2 linked regions of the Stegostoma tigrinum genome follow. The protein of the gene in region 1 purifies or fractionates together with the protein of each later gene. This does not show direct contact. Links are inferred from orthologs where the notes say so. Each region holds a gene or a part of one and is shown in the gene's direction. Other genes may lie near its edges.

The links. Proteins that work in one complex are often made in the same cells at the same time.
Region 2: the proteins of acaa2 (region 1) and pgd fractionate together in Homo sapiens (co-fractionation; 3 studies listed by BioGRID). This does not show direct contact. The link is inferred for Stegostoma tigrinum from reciprocal best matches to the Homo sapiens genes ACAA2 and PGD.

Annotation. Positions count from the first base shown.
Region 1 is NC_081354.1:158,738,151-158,748,092, forward strand, and holds the start of acaa2 (3-ketoacyl-CoA thiolase, mitochondrial), read left to right. Parts: upstream 1-5,271; 5' UTR 5,272-5,416; coding exon 5,417-5,432; intron 5,433-5,465; exon of another isoform or gene 5,466-5,692; intron 5,693-9,942. UniProt on the Homo sapiens protein: In the production of energy from fats, this is one of the enzymes that catalyzes the last step of the mitochondrial beta-oxidation pathway, an aerobic process breaking down fatty acids into acetyl-CoA.
Region 2 is NC_081381.1:13,758,771-13,768,636, reverse strand, and holds the start of pgd (6-phosphogluconate dehydrogenase, decarboxylating), read left to right. Parts: upstream 1-5,757; 5' UTR 5,758-5,858; coding exon 5,859-5,866; intron 5,867-9,866. UniProt on the Homo sapiens protein: Catalyzes the oxidative decarboxylation of 6-phosphogluconate to ribulose 5-phosphate and CO(2), with concomitant reduction of NADP to NADPH.

The DNA of each region.
Region 1 (9,942 bases):
GAGTCAGAGACAACAGTGTGGAACTCAAGGAACACAGCTCACCAGACAGCATTACAGGAGCAGGAAAATTGACATTTTGGATCAGGATTCTTCTGGGTCTCGACCCGAAAAGTCAACATTCCTGCTCCTCTGATACTGCCTAGCCTGCTACGTTTGTGCAGCTCCACACTGAATAGGCTGGGGTTTTTTTCCCTGGAGTGTCACAGGCTGAAGGGTGCCCTTATAGAGGTTTACAGAATCAGTAAAGGCATGGATCGGATGAATAGCCAAGGTCTTTTTCTCAGGGTGCAGGGCTCAAAACCAGATAGCATAACTATAAAGGTGAGAGGTGAACATTTTCATGCAGAGTGGTGTGTGTGGAATGAACTGCCAGAGGAACTGATGGAGGCATGTACAATTACGACATTTTGATTAGATTAAATTAGAATCCCTACAGTGTGGAAACAGGCCCTTTGGCCCAACAAGTCCACACTGCCCCTTGATATATCCCACCCAGACCCAATCCCCTATAACCCACGCACCTCTGAACATTTTGGACAATTTAGCATGGCCAATCCACCTAGCCTGCACATCTTTGGACTGTGGGAGGAAACCGGAGCACCCGGAGGAAACCCACCAGACACAGGCAGAATGTGCAAACTCCACACAGACAGTTACCCCAGGCTGGAATTGAACCCGGGTCCCTGGTGCTGTGAGACTGCAGTGCTAACGACTGAGCCACCGTTAAAAGACATCCGGACAGCCACGTGAACAGGAAGGGTTAGGAGGGAAATGAGCCAAATGCCAGCAATTGGGACTAGATCAATTTAGTATATCTGGTTTACATGGACAAATTGGATCAAAGGGTCTATTTTCATGCTGTATTACTCTATGACTTTAGTGAAAAATACGAAAGTTGTCCCATCTGCTGGGGGCCAAGATTTTCAATCACACATATAAAAGGAAGCAGGAGCAGACATCCCTGAATATCAATGGCAGATCCAGCCCAAGGCAGCTTGCAGCAGTGCTTCAAAATTTCAAATGTCAAAATCAGTGGCGGCATTTTCAATGCTGGGTCTTATCAGCTTTATCACTTGCCTTGGGCATGTACTCCTATCCTGTATTTACCAACAATATATCGGTCAGAGATTGTACTTCATGTTCACATAGTTCACTCCAATTTCATACGCATAGCACTGTTGCAAGCCTCACCCTAACATCTCACAGCTTGCATACTTAAACCAACTATTCAAACATGACAGTGACTATCAGGTCTGAAGAATTGTCCCTGAACTCAAAACATTAATTCTGCTTTTTCTCCACAGTTGCTGCCAAACTTATTGGGTTTGAACTGCAATTTGTTTTATGACAAACACAGCATCCAGATGGATTATATGAGAATCATTGAATACATTTTTCTCTTTCTTTCTTGTGGGACAACGTGGTGCACAGCTGAAGGCAGTAGGGTAAGATGCACTCAATTTTACTGAGAAGTGAATTGAGAAAGCAGGTATTGGCCATAACTTTTAATCCTCTTTCCACTTAGTTGGTGCTAGAAGACTGGAGAATTGCAAAATGTTGCACCCTTGTTCGAAAAGGTACAAAGATGAGAAACTGTATACCCATCAGTTTAACCTCCATTATGGAGAGATTTTTTTTACACGAATAATTCAGGATAAAATTAATAATCACTTTGGCAGATGCAGATTAATTCTTTAAAAAAACTAACACGATTAGTGCACATCACGTTTAACTAATTTGTCTGCTATTTTGTTTTAGTATCAGAGGTTTGATGAGGATGATGCTGTTGATGTGGTGTACATGGACTTCAAAAAGGCATTTGATAAAGTACACACAACAAATTTACAAGCAAATTAGTACTCATGGAATAAAAGGGGCAGTTGCAACATGGATATGAATTTTTTGCATGACCAGAAAAAAAGCTGTAGTAATGTTTCATGATTATGTCATCTTCATGATTATGCATCATTGACTTAGAAATTACAATATAGTGCAGTGAATAAAATTTCACAGATAATGTGACACTAGTAACAATTGGTAATGACCAAATAGAAGTAGGAGTAGAAATAGGCTATTCAATGAGATCATGGTTGATCTGATAATCCTGAACTCCAGTTTCCTGGCTTCCCCAGAACTGTATTCCCTTACTGATAAAAAAAATCTCAGCTTTGAACACATTTACCGGCCTAGCCTCTGCAGCTCTTTGCAGCAAAGAATTCCACTGATTCACTACCCTCAGAAATTCTTCCTCATCTGTCTTAAGTGTGAAGCCCCTTATTCAGATTATGTCCTCTTGTCCTAAAGCTCTCCCACAAGGGGAAACAATTCTTCCACATCTACCCTGTCAAGACCCCTAAGAATTTTGTATGTTTGTCTTCTCTAAGAAGTTCAGGCCCACTCTGCTCAAATCTCTCCTAAAAACACAGTCCCTCCATACCCAGTATTAGCCTAGCTAACCTTCTGTGGACTGGCTCCAATGCTGGTATATCCTTCCTTAGGTAACAGGCCTAAAACTGTTCATAGTATTCCTGCTATGGTCTAACTAATGCCTTGTATTGTTTCAGCAAAACCTTTCCCAATTTATACACCATTCCCTTTGAAATAAAGACATTCTACTTGCCTTCCCTCTTACCCACTGAACTCAGATTTCATGATATGTGAAGCAGTGATTTAGATAGGGAAGAATGTGCGACAGAACAATTCTTATTTTAACCTCAACTCCAAGTAGTTGGTAACTTAATAGCATATATGCATTTTTAAAAATAAACACAAACATGGGGATTACCAAATGATTGTGGTTGCTGCAATATGCATTCAATTCCAAACAGGTAAGGAAATTACACACTTATTTGTAAAATTAATGAGTTCCATTAATATGTCAATTGGAAAATACAGTCCAGCATAGTATTCAGCCAAAGGGTATCAGAACCAAACACAACATCTGCCCTCATCTAGTATACTTAGTAAAATCTGAACACATTTAACATACATGTGCACAATAACATACATAGCATTAAAACAACAGTAGAAATTTCTGCAAAGCTCAGCAAGTCTGCCAGTATATGTGGAGAAAAATCAGTTAATGGTTAGGGTTCAGTGACTCTTCCTCAGAAAGGCTCCATTTGACCCAAAATGTTAACTCTGATTTCTCACCACAGATGCTGCCAGACCTTCTCAGCTTTTCTAGCAATTTCTATTTTTGTCTCCAATTTACAACATCTGCAGTTCTTTTGGTTTTTCTTTAAGCAGTATTGAGGATGGGTCAATTGCGTGTTTAAAAAAAATTGCCGATTAATTGGTTTCCATTCCCTTTTCAATTGCACAGCAGTTGGTGATGTCGGTAGATTTGTGTCATAGGTAGAGAGGGTGGTTAAGCAGTTTAGCACACTTGCATTCCCTGCTTAGACCTTTGAATATAGGAACAAAAACAGAAATTGTTGGAAAAGCTCTGCAGGTCTGGCAGCATCTGAGAAGGTAAATGTTCAGGTTGGTGGCCCTTCCTCAGAACGGTATAGGAGCTGGCATGTCACATTGTACAGGATGTTGGTGAGGCCTCTTCTGGAATACTGTGTGCAGTTCTGGTCACCCTGTTACAGGAAGCATATTATTAAACTGGACAAGTTTAGAAAAGATTTAACAACTGAAAGATCTGTAGATGCTGGAAGTCTGAAACAAAAACAAATTGCTGGAAAAACTGAGCAGGTCTGACAGCATCTGTGGAGCAAAATCAGAGTTAATATTTTGGGTCTATTGACTCTTTATCAGAAATGATTTACCAGGATGTTATTGGGAATCGAAAATTTGAGGATTAAGCTAGACAATGACTTTTTTTTTTACACTGGAGGGTAAGAGCTTGAGGGCTGACTTAATTTTTAAGATCATTAGGGGCATTGGTAAGATGAATAGCAAAGGTCTTTCCCTAAGGTGGGGGGGGGGGGGCGGAGTTCAAAACTAGGGGGCATACTCGTAAGACAAGAGGAGAAAGATGTAAAAGAGGACATCAGGGGCGACTCTTTAAAAAAAGGTTAGCGTGTAGAATAAACTGCCAGGGAAAGTGGCAGATGCGGATACAGACGTAACATTTAAATACTTACATGAACAGGAAAAGTTTGGAGTGATATGGGCCAAAGGCAGGCAGATGGGATTAGTTTAGTTTGAAAAAAATACCCATTCAGATGTCTTCACGAATATCTGACGTGTCCTACCTAAGAAAATCCCATCATTCAGCCTAATATTATTGTTCATATGCGGGTCTCAGACATTTTCCAGCACTAATTCCATCATTCAGGTTCATTGTGGAACTCGGATTGCGCAGTGGGCTAGTCATCATCGACCATATTTTACATATCAAGCACCTGCCTGAAACAAATCCCCACATCCACCCCACTTCCTATCCAAATCAACTAAAGCAATCAAAGTTCCAGTTATTATTCACTGCTGCTCTCCCAGCTCCTTGAACCTACTCTGAAAACTCCATCCAAGATTAAATTTAAAATGATGCACACAGCCATTCATTCACCCACTCAGACGGTCCCATCACGAAGTTAGTTTAATCATCTCCGGATCCTCAAACAAGGGCCCGATCATATAAGGAAAATAGACAGGTTCATCTGGGGAACGATTTCACACTCACTCAGTCAGACAAATCAAGAGATAATGGGAACTGCAGATGCTGGAGATTCCAAGATAATAAAATGTGAGGCTGGATGAACACAGCAGGCCAAGCAGCATCTCAGGAGCACAAAAGCTGACGTTTCGGGCCTCTCTGATGAAGGGTCTAGGCCCGAAACGTCAGCTTTTGTGCTCCTGAGATGCTGCTTGGCCTGCTGTGTTCATCCAGCCTCACATTTTATTATCTTTGACAAATCAAGAGTCGTTTTTAGTCCCTCTTCCCACTAAAAAAAAGACCAACTCGGCTCCTCTCGGCCAAACACCATTTCCATTACTTTGAAGCAAAACTTTCAAGCTACCTCAAACTAAGCCGCACCGCCCGTCCGCTGCCGCGCATGCGCAGAACTTGTCGCCGCTGCCAGCCTGACCAGAACCCCGCCTACTGTGTAGGACTCCCTGTTGCTACCGGTCCATTTAAATGTCAATCATCAACCCTGCGCGATTTAAATAGACTCCCTGTCTATCATGAAGGTACCAAATTATGTATTTTATCATTCTGGCTTGAGGTTTCGTCATCCGCCCTTTGTCTCATAGGGCAAATTTAATTAACTTATTCAGTTAAATTATGCCTCAGGGTTTTGTTCTTTTGTAAGGCCTCTGTTTCATTTTGTGCTGCGATGAGGCGCTTGACAATTGTGATGAGGGCCAGCGTAGTGAATGTTGTCTCTCGGATGGAGAACTAGCTGTAGGTGAAAGCTCTCTGTGTTTGACAGTGAAGGGCTTTGAGTGGAGGCGGTCTTATAGCATGGCTCTTCTCAGAGGTGAGTCAAAGTAGAACGATGTTTATATACCTGCTCGGATCGCAGAATAATAAACAAGGAACACCATTCTTTCTCATAATATCATAAAATGCCGGCACCTTACTGCAGTTGGGTTCACTGTTTGAATTTGAAATAACATTCGCCTCCGTTATAATCCTTGAACTTTGTCCCGTTTAAAAAGCCTCCATCCATAACTTTTTGGAGAGTGTATGTCAACTCCAGCCGAGTTGCGATGTGAACTGTCAACATTTGAAGATACGGTAGGAGTCACTTTTAAAAACTTTTTGAAGTTTTAAGATGGGGCCGAGTGGACTTGCACTGAAGCAAAGGCGAGAATTGGAGTTCTGAAGAAAGGTCTATAGACCCGAAACATTAACACTGCTTGCTCTCTCCACAGATGTTGTGAACTTTCCCAGCAACTTCTGTTTTTGTTTCTGGTTTCAAGTATCGCTGTTCTTTGGTTTTTATTGTGAGAATGTGCAATATTAAAAATATATATTGCAGTTCTATTTAATCAAGAAATTGTATTCATTTTTAAAGAATGGCTTTCGTCAAAGGAAGTTGCTTCTTACATGGCATGCCTGACGATTGGAAATTTTTGATTTCCTTCTGGCTGCTGAATTAGTGGAGATGTATCCAAGAAGTGTGGCCACAAGCATTTCTTTTTATTTCGGAATGGATATTGATTTCACAAGGCTTATTTAATGTCCACTGTAAGAACTATGGATGCTATAAATCAGGAACAACAACAGAAGTTGTTGGAAAAGTTCAGCAGTTCTGAAGAAGGTTCACAGGACCCAAAATATTAACTCTTATTTTTCTTCATAGATGCTGCCACACCTACTGAGCTTTCTGAGGAAGGGTCACCGAACCTGAAACATTAACTCTGTTTTCTCCTCCACAGATGCTGCCAGACTTGCTGAGCTTTTCCAGCAACTTTGTTTTTGTTCCTGATTTACAGCAACTGCAGTTCTTTTGGTAATCAACTTCTGTGTTTGTTCTTTAGGGTCCAGTCTTGCCTTAAGTGGTCAGGGAATTAGGTTTGTGATGTTCTTTTCTTTTTAACAGAAAAAATGTATTTTTGTGAGAAGTAGGAAAGGTTACTGATGGTGTAATCAAAAAGATACACATTTTAAGAATGGTATTGGAGGAAGTGAGTGAGGTGCTAGCTGTGGAGAAAATGAAAACAGAGGGTGGTTGAAAGCATAACAGATCTACCAGAAGGTGACTTACGATTTTTGTTGAGGAGCTTTTGTTGGAAATCTTGCACTTACAATTACGATGTGTCCTGCTCTAAATGTAAGTTTTCTTTTATGTTTTCCAACTTGCAACCACACTTCAAAGATAATTGAAACTTGTGACCCAATTGTACACATCTACGACTGAAATAACATATTGGTTATACAATATCAGTGGTTTTTCAGTCTCTTTTCTTTAATTCATAATGTGGAGATACCAATGTGACTGTGGTGGATAAAGTCAGAAGTTACATGACACTGAGTTATAGTCCAAATTTATTTAAATCACAAGCTTTTTAGCACTGCTCCTTCATCGGGTGAAGTGGAGTGAAGGGCATGGGCGCAGAGTATATAGATGGAGAGATAATGGCAAGATAATTCCAAGTAATTAAGAGTGTCAATAGATAAGTACAAATAATGAGTGGTGGATGACGGGCTGAATAACAAGTCTTTGCAGGTGATCAGGAGTGTCAAACGGCGAGTAACGTGTCAACAAGCTAAATAAGAATTGAAGGGATTACCTGTGGACTGATTAATTCAGGCAGAGAGATATTATAAATAGTCAAAAATAAGATGGTGCTAGAGCCAACCAAATGCTGGAATAACATCAGTAGGTATCAGAGTTGCTTGATAAGGGTCTAACCAAAGTAACAAGTAAACATTTTAAATAAACCCGTTGGACTATAACCTGATGCCAGGTGACTTCTGACTTGAATTAATAGTAGCTGGTTTCCCCTTTTCTAGTAGAGATTTTTCAAAAGTGATGAACGGGGAGGTTTTTAAATAGTAGTTCATGTGCTGCTAACATGTCCCAAATTGTTTGGGAAACTTTGAGTGTAGATTTGTAATGGCAAGGAATGAAAAAAGTCAAATTTCTGCTTAATAAATGGAGAGATGATTTGTTTTAAGAGGTTACCAAAATGTGATACATGTCTAAAAGCAGAACTGAGATTGATGTATCTATTAGTAATTGCAAATGTTTATATTTTGATTCATTGTGCCTTTATATTTTACCTTCCAGCAGTTGTTCCCTCCAATCTAGAGTTGTGTATACAGTGACACAAATGCAGTGGTTCAAGGAGGTGGCTCACCACAGCCCCTCAAGGACAACTAGGGATGGGCAATAAATGTGCATCCAGCCTATATTTATTGCAGGCTTGTATGAGCATTTAAAAGGAATTTTAAGCCATTTGAAATTTTGAGTTACTGAGTTCTGCATTTTAAAGAAACTATTTAGAAAAGGAAAATAAATTTGTATCTCTAAAGTATCTCTTATGACCTCATCCTAAAGCACTTTGCAGCCAATAAATTGCTGAGACTGTACAGGGAAATGTGGCAGACAGATTGGTCTTCCCCAACAATGAGATATGATGAGATGATACTACAGGACTATATACAGCACAGAAATTAGCTATTCAACCCATCTAGTCCGGCCCTGCATTTGTGCCCTCCTCAAGCTTCCTCCCATCCTTTCTTATCTGACTGTTACCAGTAGGCCCTCCTATTCTCTATCTAATTTTCTCTTAAATGCATCTATACTTTTCAAACCAACTACTCGGCGATTCTCACTGCCCACTTGTAAAGAAGTTTCTTGAATTGTCTGTTTTCTTTAGTGACTGTCTTGCATTGCATTGATGGCCACTAATTTTGTTTTTCTTTTTCCTTTATAAATGGAAATTAGATATGCATTTATATAATATTTTTAATGTCTAAAATGTCATTGGGTCCTTAAGTTCTATTAAACAACATGTGACACTGATTCACATAATGAGATTAGTGCAAATGACCAACGGTTTTAAGCAGCATCTTGAAGGAGAAACAAAAGGAAGAGAGACCAAGAAGTTTGCAGAGAATTGGAAATAATGGCTTCAGCAACTGAAGGCATGGTTGCCATTGGTTGAGCAATTAAAATCAGTGATGTGCAAAAAGTGGCTTGCAGATGTCTTGAAGTTTTGCAGAAGAAACTGCACAGGTAAGAAGGAGCCAACAGCGTCCTAAAAATGGAATTAAAAATTTAAAACTGCAGCTTTGCTCAACTTGGAATTCAGTGAAGTTCAGGAGCAGTGGATAATGGAACATAGTGCAAATTAGGATGTAGGTAGGCTTTAGTTTTTGGAGGGGAGAAGACAGAAAGCTGGCCAGGTGTGTGTTGGAATTTCGAGTCTAAGTAAGGCATGGATGATGATACTAGCAGTAGGTGTGCTGAGGCGAGGTACTGTTATAAGGTGGAAATACTTGGCAGTGACACTGGATATGGACTTGGAAACTCATTTATTGGCTCAGATATAGTAGTAAAGTTATGAATGATCTGATTCAGCAGTAGATAGTGGCAGGATTGAGTTAGTAGCAAAAGGAGTTTGTGACAGTGGTTTTAGTCTTAATATTTAAAAGCAAAATACTGCAGATGTTTAAAATCCAAAATGAAAACTGTTAGAGACAGCCGGTCCATCAAAACAGGGAGGGAAATAGTTGACATTTTGAGTCCAATGAACTTCATTTGGAATATCAATATTTAGTTAGAGGAAATTTTTACTCATTCATTTGCCAATATAAGGTAAGTAGTCTAACAATTTAGGGATAGTAGGCAGGGTTTGGGGATGGGAGTCATGGTCATAAGGACACAGGTTGACAGCACAGAAAAAGGCCATTCAGCCTATCAAGTCTGTGTCAGTCAGAAATGAGTGCCTGACTATTCTAATCCTATTTTCTAGCACTTGGCTCATCACCTTTGTGTGCTTTAGCATTGCAAGCACATTTCTAAATACCACTTAAATATTATTAGGGTTTCTGCAATACCACTCTTACAAACAGCAAGTTCCAGATCCCAACACTGTCTGGAAGAAAAATGAAAGATGTCCCTTCTAAATCCTTTGCCTTGTACCTTGAATCCATGCCCCCTTGTCAATGACCCTTCCACCAAGTGGAAAGGTAATTCCTGTTTACCCAATGTATGCTGCCTATAATTTTGCCCATCTCAAGCACATCACCCCTTCCAATCTCCAAGGAAAGCCACCTCAGTCTATCTGATCTCCAAATATGGATGCTATTACTTTTCATATATGCATTTTGATCAGAAGCAGAAAAGATGACCAAATACAGAAAAATGTTGGTTAATCATTTGGGAAAGATCCAATTAGTGGGAAACTGCTCTGCATAGATCAGGAATTTCCAGGCTTGTTTCAATCTCCAGCTAGTAGGAAACTTTACGGTCAAATATATTCTCCAATGCTTTGCATGGCGATGCTGTAAAATAGCAGATACAGCCATCGCGT
Region 2 (9,866 bases), on another chromosome or scaffold:
CAGGGTTCCCAGGCGGAATATGAGTTGCTGTTCCTGCAACCTTCGGGTGGCATCATTGTGGCACTGCAGGAGGCCCATGATGGACATGTCATCAAGAGAATGGGAGGGGGAGTGGAAATGGTTTGCGACTGGGAGGTGCAGTAGTTTGTTGCGAACTGCCCCAAGATGACATTCCACATTAAGCAGAGGTTCACCTGCACATCTGCCAATGTGGTATACTGCATCCACTGTACCCGGTGTGGCTTCCTCTACATTGGGGAAACCAAGCGGAGGCTTGGAGACCGCTTTGCAGAACACCTCTGCTCAGTTCGCAACAAACTACTGCACCTCCCAGTCGCAAAACATTTCCACTCCCCCTCCCATTCTTTAGATGACATGTCCATCATGGGCCTCCTGCAGTGCCACAATGATGCCACCCGAAGGTTGCAGGAACAGCAACTCATATTCCGCCTGGGAACCCTGCAGCCTAATGGTATCAATGTGGACTTCACCAGTTTCAAAATCTCCCCTTCCCCTACTGCATCCCTAAACCAGCCCAGTTCGTCTCCTCCCCCCACTGCACCACACAGCCAGCCCAACTCTTCCCCCCCACCACTGCATCCCAAAACCAGTCCAACCTGTCTGTGCCTCCCTAACCTGTTCTTCCTCTCACCCATCCCTTCCTCCCACCCCAAGCCGCACCCCCAGCTACCTACTAACCTCATCCCACCTCCTTGACCTGTCCGTCTTCCCTGGACTGACCTATCCCCTCCCTACCTCCCCACCTACACTCTCTCCACCTATCTTCTTTACTCTCCATCTTCGGTCCGCCTCCCCCTCTCTCCCTATTTATTCCAGTTCCCTCTCCGAGGAAGGGTCTAGGCCCGAAACGTCAGCTTTTGTGCTCCGGAGATGCTGCTTGGCCTGCTATGTTCATCCAGCCTCACATTTTGTTGAATTAGAAAATAATGATTTGATTGGGTGAAGTGAAGGTGGATTTGTGAATGGGAAAACTTATTTAACAAACCTGGTGAGGTCCTTTCGATTATGGTACTAGCAGGGCCGATGAGGGGGAAACCAGTACATTATTAGAACATTATTTCAACGAGCCACCACACGCTGCAGCACAGAGGAACTACGCAGAGCAGAGGAAAATCACCTATACAGCGTATTCAAAAAGAACAGGTACCCAATGAACACAGTCCGCCGATTTCTCAGCCACAAACCCAAACAAACAGACAAAACGGGCTCAGAAACCATAACCACTCTCCCCTACATCAAAAGCATTTCCGAAATGACTGCCAGACTACTCGGACCCCTTGGCATCAGGGTAGCCCACAAACCCACCAACACACTAAAACTGCAGCTAATGAACTTAAAAGACCCTATACAGACAACAAGCAAAAGAAACGTCATTTACAAAATACTTTGCAAGAACTGTGACAAACACTACATTGGACAAACTGGCAGAAAGCTAGCCACCAGGATACATGAACATCAACTAGCCACAAAACGACATGACCCACTATCACTAGTATCCTTACATACAGATGAGGAAGGACACCACTTTGATTGGGACAACACATCCATCCTAGAACAAGCCAAACAGAGACATGCACGAGAATTCCTAGAAGCATGGCATTCCAACCGGAACTCCATCAACAAACACATTGATTTGGAGCCAATCTACTATCCCCTGAGAAAAAGAACAGGAAATGACATCACCAACCCAAGGAAACCTAACCAGATAAATAGAAAGCGGGACATAACACCAGCGCTTTGTCGGAGGCTCACTGATGATGTTACCTAGAATGGTGACAAAACGTCTGAAAACGAACCTTCCAGCTCAGCGAGCAAACTCACATCCAGAACCTCAACCTGAGCTACAAATCTTCTCAAAACTCGCTGGAAACCGGTACAGCTGGGCTTTTGAAAGGCTTCTGCGCTGGTATCGGGAAGTTTAAAAAAAAACTAAAGCACGTGGAATTGAGAGTAATGTTTTGGCATGGATTAAGGATCAGTTAAGAGACAAAACAGATCTTGAATAATTAGGTCATTCAGGTTCACAGGATGCATCTAGTGGCATACAGCAATGATCAGTGCATGGTGTCACCTGTTCACAATCTGTATGAATAGGATGTGGAAACTGAGTGTTCATGTTCCCAAGTTTATCTCTGTCATAAAACTAGTTGAGAATATGTTGTAAGGATGTTGCAATGTAATTTCAAATGGATTTGGATAATGTGACTCAATGGGCAAGAACAAGGCTGATGGAATACACTGGATAAGTATGAAGATATGCAAGTACAGAGTTTTCCTTTAAGGGATTAGGAAATATTGATTGTCACTGAAAACCAATACGTTGGTGTAGAAAGCAATTTGAAAGGCAAATGCCACATTGGCATTTATTGCAAGAAAATTATTGGAGCTTGTTGAAGAATTATGGATGTACTGATTAATTTGCAAAAGGATATTTGATACGGTTCCACATCAAAAGTTATTACAGAAAATAAAAGCTCTTTGGTGTATGGATACATATTAGAATGAAGAGATTAGCCAGCTCACAGGAATTAATAGGCATTATTAGTCATTTTCTGATTGGCAAGATGTGCCACATGGCTTTGTACGTTTTACAATTTGTATACACAACTTGAATGAAGGGACCATAAGAATGTTGCTAAATTTGCCAATGTCACAAAGATAGATAAGGAAGTAACTTGTGAAGACGACCTAATGAGGTTCCAAATAGATGTGGGTTAGGTGAGTGGGCGAGGATCTGACAAACAGAGTATTGTGTGGGAAAATGTAAAAATGTTGATTTGCCAGGAACAGTGAAAGAGCATATTATCAAAATGATGAGATAGTACGGAGCTCAGAGATGCAGAGAGATCTGGGTGTCTCAGTGTATTAATCACAAAAGGTACAGCAAGTAATTAGGTAAGCTAAAGATGCCATTATCACAAGGATAACGAACGTAAAAGTACCAGGATCGTGGAGAGCATTAGTGAGACTATGTCTGGAGTACAGAGCATTGTCACCTTATTTAATGAAAGTTGTAAATACATAAGGAGCAATTCAGGATAATGAAATGTGAGGCTGGATGAACACAGCAGGCCCAACAGCATCTCAGGAGCACAAAAGCTGACATTTTGGGCCTAGACCCTTCATCAGAGAGGGGGGTGGGAGGGTTCTGGAATAAATAGGGAGAGAGGGGGAGGCGGACCGAAGATGGAGAGAAAAGAAGATAGGTGGAGAGGAGAGTATAGGTGGGGAGGTAGGGAGGGGATAGGTCAGTCCAGGAAAGACGGACAGGTCAAGGAGGTGGGATGAGGTTAGTAGGTAGGAGATGGAGGTGTGGCTTAGGGTGGGAGGAAGGGATGGGTGAGAGGAAGAACAGGTTAGGGAGGCAGAGACAGGTTGGACTGGAGCAATTCAGAGGTGGTTTTCTGGCCTAATGCTTGGAATGGAGCAGGAGTGATAAGGAAAAGTTGCACAGGCTAGGACTGTGTCTGCTGGAACTTTGAAATGCAAGAGGGGTGAGGGGTTACTGGGGGTGGTAGGTGGGTATAGGGTGTATTCCAGGCCAGCTCTGTGCTTATCGAATGGCAGACCAGGCTCAAGGAAGCAGAGCAACCTACCCTCTCTTCCTCCTGGATTGTCAGATTCTGCCACGATGAGCTCAATTTCTGCTCTGCAGCAGAAATAGAAAGTGTAGGAGAAACTCAGCAAGGCTAGCAGCAACTGTGGCAAGAGAAACAGAGTTAATGTTTTGAGTGTGGTGATCTCGTAGGTTTTGTTCTTTTCAAAGTGCTGTTCGACTCCAACCGGCGACATCAATGGGAAATAAAACAAAGAAACTGGGAGGGGGCCGGGGGAAAGATCTGAAACTGATAATAGAAATTGCTGGGAAAACTCTGTAGGTCTGGCAGCATTTTGGAGAAAGAAGCAGTTAACATTTCAGGTCCAGTGACCCTTCTGCAGAGTTCCCTTTGGCTGTTCTGCTTTGGATACTTCTAAACAAAATTACATTTTAAAGTTTTTGTCACGGAATTAGACTCGAGGAGATATCACTTGGCTGGCGATTGTGTCAGTTTCAATTTGAGTTTGGATATTACATCAAACAAGACCCCAAAAATAAAAAAAAACTGCACATGCTGGAGATCTAGCAGGTAGTAACTTGGCCAATTATATGGTCCCTGGATTTATCAATGTGCCATGTTTTGTACTGGTAGAGATATTCTTACTCATGGTGTTGAGCAGCCAAGTGAGAGATCTGAAATAAAAACAAATTGCTGCGTCCAGAGGGAGCTGGGGAAGAGAGAGAGAGAGAGAAGCAGATTGAGGGGTTGGGACTCCACCATCAGGTTTACATGAAGTTCAAAGACCTGCCTCTGAGGGAAACAATCCCTCAGTTTGGGTGGGCTCTCAAACTGCAAGGGACAATAAGGGGACCCCAGCTTGGAATAAGCAGAACAGTATATTTGGAATTAATTACAGGAGAAGGTGGCAAAGGTGATGGAGACTTAACTACAACTTCAATAAAAAACTTAAATAAAATGTGCCTTGTCACATGGGCCACCACTCCACAAGGTGACTTGTGCTAGGGTAAATATAGGCAGACTGTGAGGTCCTCAAACCTGGCTGCAGCTGAGCTCACCAGCCTGCTGCCAAGAAGTTACCTCCACACAACACTGTTCCCTTTCTGATGGCCGAATGGAACTGGAAGTCCGCGTGGTCATTAACTATCTGAATTCATCCCCATTCCTCTACTCCCCCTCCTTCCCCCACCCACCCCTATCATGAGCCAATTGCCTGGATGTAGCATGAAGCTGAGGAATTGGCGATCTGGGGTCGAATTGTAACTCACTTGTCCTGATACACAACGCCCTCCTGACCCTCAAAAGTTTCGTGTAATGTTTCAGTTTGATGACCTTTCATAAGAGCATGACAAATCTGGCCCTGGCTGATCGCTACAGATTGACATCAAAGAGGCCTGCTCTCATTGGCTAGGAAAATCTGCCCTGTCCGTAACTGAACCAACAAACTAGACAGATGTTCCCTATTTCCTGCTCTTACTGTGGTACTGAGCAGTCCTCTGTGAAGGATGAGGTCAAAAGTCTTGCAAAGATGTGGGATTTCCCTTTAGGAATTGCAAGATTAATTTTTCACAATGTCATTTCCTCCTATCCATTCATAATCAATGGCCAGGGATAGACTGTGGGGGGAGTCTCCGCTGGTGAGTTCAGGCTGTCCGGAAGCACATTATTGGACCAGTTCTGAAGAAGGGTCACTAGACTCGAAACATTAACTCACTCTCGCTCTCTCTCCACCGATTCTGACAGCCCTGCTGAGTTTCTCCGGTTGTTTCTGCTTTTCTGTTTCAAGATTTCCACATTCGCAGTTTTTTTTTATTGCAGCACTGTGCTGGAGCCTGACTTCCCCCACCCATATGCCATGCACACACTCCCTCTCTGGTTGCTAAGCTCTGCCCCTGCTAAAGTGTTAAGTCATGTTGACTTGCAAAAAACTGATGCTAGCTGAAGCCCAGGCGAGTCACCCCACAAAATCAAGGGACTGAGTGAGGACAGGCTCGATCGGCTGTTCCTGGGACTGCCCGCTTCGGACAGCCCCAAGGCCCGGGGCTCTCGGTTTGCAGAGGGCAGTGATGGCCTGCTCCGAACCCCGGCTTGAAGATGAAGTCGCGTAGCTTCCGCGTGTCTGTGATTGATGGGCGTGTTGTCCAATCATAGCGCGTCTCCCCGTAGAACGCGGTGTATCAATCTCACAGCTGTCCAATAGAAGTGTTAGAGGGGCGGGATCTGAGTGCTGAAATGTAACAAACCCGCAGCAGCAAGTGCCCAGAGATTTGAGATTGCACCATGGCTGAGTGAGTATACCTCTCGGGGTGGGCAGGGATTGTCTCTACTGCATCGATTCTTGTAAAATAAGCATTATATTTAATGCTCTCAAATAATTTGTATCCATCAGCGGATTTCAAGCATTTTTCTTTCAGATTTCTGGCAGCACTTCACTCTTGTGTTGCTTTTTTTCAACGTTTTTAACATTTGGTTCCTTGGCTAAATTCGTACTGATTTCTTTCCCTAGGTGATTATATGCTTTTGAGTCCAGAGTTAGTTAAAGGGCTTGCTCACTTGAATCAGGACGATTTTCTCTTCCGTCTCTCTTTTTGAATATCTCGTTCCTTGATTGCTCTGTGGGCTTTCGAGCTGGCTGCCCTTTCCCAGGGGAGAGACGAGGATATTAACGATCTCCTAGGCCTCTCCCAGCTCTTGCACAAGCTGCTAGGAGGAGCGTTCCCTCACCAGACATTCTATCAGAGTGATGTGCTTTCAAGCTCCCTAGGATGCCGCTGGTTAACTGGGAGGGAGGGACAATAGTTACAAAGAGTGATTTGTGATCTTTGAGTTCCTTTGCTAAAGCAGTGACTTTTAGACGAAATAGAATAGTCTCTTTCCCTGATTTAAGGGTTTAAACCAAATGGCTTGGGGAGCTAGTGAAATGTAGTCATTAAATAAAAAGTGAAGAGAGAGACGTTACACAGGTTGGTGGAATGCCCTCGTTCAAGTAATAGAATTTTACATCTTTTCTGGAAAAATGGACTAAATATTTGAAATGGTGTAGGATACATTGGAGTGAGAACAGGGCCATGAGAATAGACTTATACAGCACAGAAACAGACCCTTCAGTCAGTGCTGAACACTATGCTGGTCCCAACTGCCTGGTCCTGGCCCATATTGCTGCAAATGTTTCCTGTTCATGTACTTACCAAGTGTCTTTTAAACGATGTGGATACTGGTACAATTACAACTTCTTGGGAGGTTCGTTCCACGTGCGAACCACCCTCTGTGTAAAAGAAAAACTTGCCCCTTGTGTCTTTTTTTAAATCTCTCTCCTCACACCTTAAAAATGTGTCCCTAGATTTGAAATCACCCATTCTAGTTAAAAGATAGCTCCTGTTAATCCTGTCAATGCCACTCATGATTTTATAAACCTCTATCAAGTCACCTCTTAACCTCCCAAGCTCCAGTGACAAAGTCCCAGCCCATCCAGCCTTTCTTTATAACTCAAACCCTCCATACCCAGCAACATCCTGGTTAAGAGATAGCAAAGACTGCAGATGCTGGAGTCAGAGATAAAACAGTGTGGAGCCGGATGAACACAGCAGGCCAGGCAGCATCAGAGAAGCAGGAACGCCGACATTTTGGGCCGAGACCCTTCTTCAGAAAATTTTCTCCAAAAGTTATCTCTAACATCCTGGTTAATCTGTCCTGAACCCTCTCCAGTTTAATAGTTTCTTTGGAAAGAGACACAAAGGGTTGGGCAACCTTTAGTGCTGTTAATGCCCCTAGATCTGCTGCCTTCACCTTTCTGTTGACAGGAGTCCCGTGTGTGGGAAGTGCTAATATTTAGCAGTGTAGAAGGAAGCCAACCAACCAGTCAATACTTTCCTTGTTTCCCTTTCCCCGACCCTGTCAAGCTATTGACCAGTGAAATCGGCTGTTTCTGACATCATTGAATTGTCCTTGAAGTTTTGGAAAAGTTTTTTGGAGTTTTTCCTGGCCACCTATGAGCCAAGAGAGGAACTCTCTATTTTCTCCTCCTTAATAGAAGCCTTGTGTCCCTGATTTCCTTCAGGGGTTGGAGGTGGGGGAGAGGACTGGGAGGGTCATTGCTTGCAACCTCTGTAGGGAGGTGATGGCCTAGTGGTATTGTTGTTGGGTTAATAATCCAGGGACCCAGGTAATGTTCTGATGACCTGCATTTGAATCCCATCTTGGCAGCTGTTGGAACTAGAATTCTATGAAAATCTGAAATTAAGACCTTAACAATGACCACGTTGATGATTGTGAGGGAAGCCCATCTGCTTCAGTAATGCCTTTTAAGGCAGGAATTCCACTGTCCTACCTGGTCTGGTCTACATGTCACTGCAGACCCACAGCAATGCAGTTGCCTCTTTACTGGTTTCTGGGCAATTAGGGCTTGGTAGGTTCAAGCCAGTGAAGCCCACGCTGTGTGATTTATTTTTAAAGAAAGCATTTCACAACAATTTGCTTGAAAGACAGGAAACTCAAGTGGCTGTTGTGATAACAAAAACAAAGTTGCTGGAAAAGCTCAGCAGGCCTGGCAGCATCTGTGAAGGACAAAACAGAATTAACGTTTCGGGTCCAGTGACAGTTCTGAGGAAGGGTCACCGGACCCAAAACATTAACTCTGTTTTTCAAACAAATTCCAAATGTAATTGCTATTTTGGCTTCCGCTCTGTGTGGCAGTGAATGGAACATCTCTTGAAATTTGGTGCGGCCAAGCAGTCTAAAGTGTTGAATTTAAGCTCCCGATCCTATGTAGGGGTCATGTGGAGCAGTGATAGTGACCCTATCTCTGGGGCAACAGATCAGACCTAACAACCATGTCCAATCGGGTTGATTGGAATAACTGACGAGGAATTTGTTAATATCCTGAACTTTTCCTTGGAGTATTTGGGCACATGGATGTGTTGTAATTATAGGGTGGTTAAAGCCCCCCCCCCCCCCCCCCTCCTCCATGTAATAACATCTCTGAACAGGTTGATTAGAAAATATGTATAGAATATCTCTCTTTTAAAGTGAATAAAAGTCAGTTTTAAAAGGTTAACCAATTACATAGAGTCTGAGCAATCCACAGAACTCATTGCTAATATTCATTTGTAAATTGAGCAGTTGGTTGTGTCTTTCAGTGAAGACTGTGAGCTATTTGTTTTTTGTTGGAAAATGAGACAGTAACAATAATAAAGAAAACAGTGTCCGTAAATCTGAGATAATGGGAACTGCAGATGCTGGAGAATTCCAAGATAATAAAATGTGAGGCTGGATGAACACAGCAGGCCAAGCAGCATCTCAGGAGCACAAAAGCTGACGTTTCGGGCCTAGACCCTTCATCAGAGAGGGGGATGGGGGGAGGGAACTGGAATAAATAGGGAGAGAGGGGGAGGTGGACCGAAGGTGGAGAGAAAAGAAGATAGGTGGAGAGGAGAGTATAGGTGGGGAGGTAGGGAGGAGATGGGTCAGTCCAGGGAAGACGGACAGGTCAAGGAGGTGGGATGAGGTTAGTAGGTAGCGGGGGGTGCGGCTTGGGGTGGGAGGAAGGGATGGGTGAGAGGAAGAACCGGTTAGGGAGGCAGAGACAGGTTGGACTGGTTTTGGGATGCAGTGGGCGGGGGGGGAAGAGCTGGGCTGGTTGTGTGGTGCAGTGGGGGGAGGGGACGAACTGGGCTGGTTTAGGGATGCAGTAGGGGAAGGGGAGATTTTGAAACTGGTGAAGTCCACATTGATACCATTAGGCTGCAGGGTTCCCAGGCGGAATATGAGTTGCTGTTCCTACAACCTTCGGGTGGCATCATTGTGGCACTGCAGGAGGCCCATGACGGACATGTCATCTAGAGAATGGGAGGGGGAGTGGAAATGGTTTGCGACTGGGAGGTGCAGTTGTTTGTTGCGAACTGAGCGGAGGTGTTCTGCAAAGCGGTCTCCAAGCCTCCGCTTGGTTTCCCCAATGTAGAGGAAGCCACACCGGGTACAGTGGATGCAGTTTACCACATTGGCAGACGTGCAGGTGAACCTCTGCTTAATGTGGAATGTCATCTTGGGGCCTGGGATAGGGGTGAGGGAGGAGGTGTGGGGGCAAGTGTAGCATTTCCTGCGGTTGCAGGGGAAGGTGCCGAGTGTGGTGGGGTTGGAGGGCAGTGTGGAGCGAACAAGGGAGTCACGGAGAGAGTGGTCTCTCCGGAAAGCAGACAGGGGTGAGGATGGAAAAATGTCTTGGGTGGTGGGGTCGGATTGTAAATGGCGGAAGTGTCGGAGGATGATGCGTTGTATCCGGAGGTTGGTAGG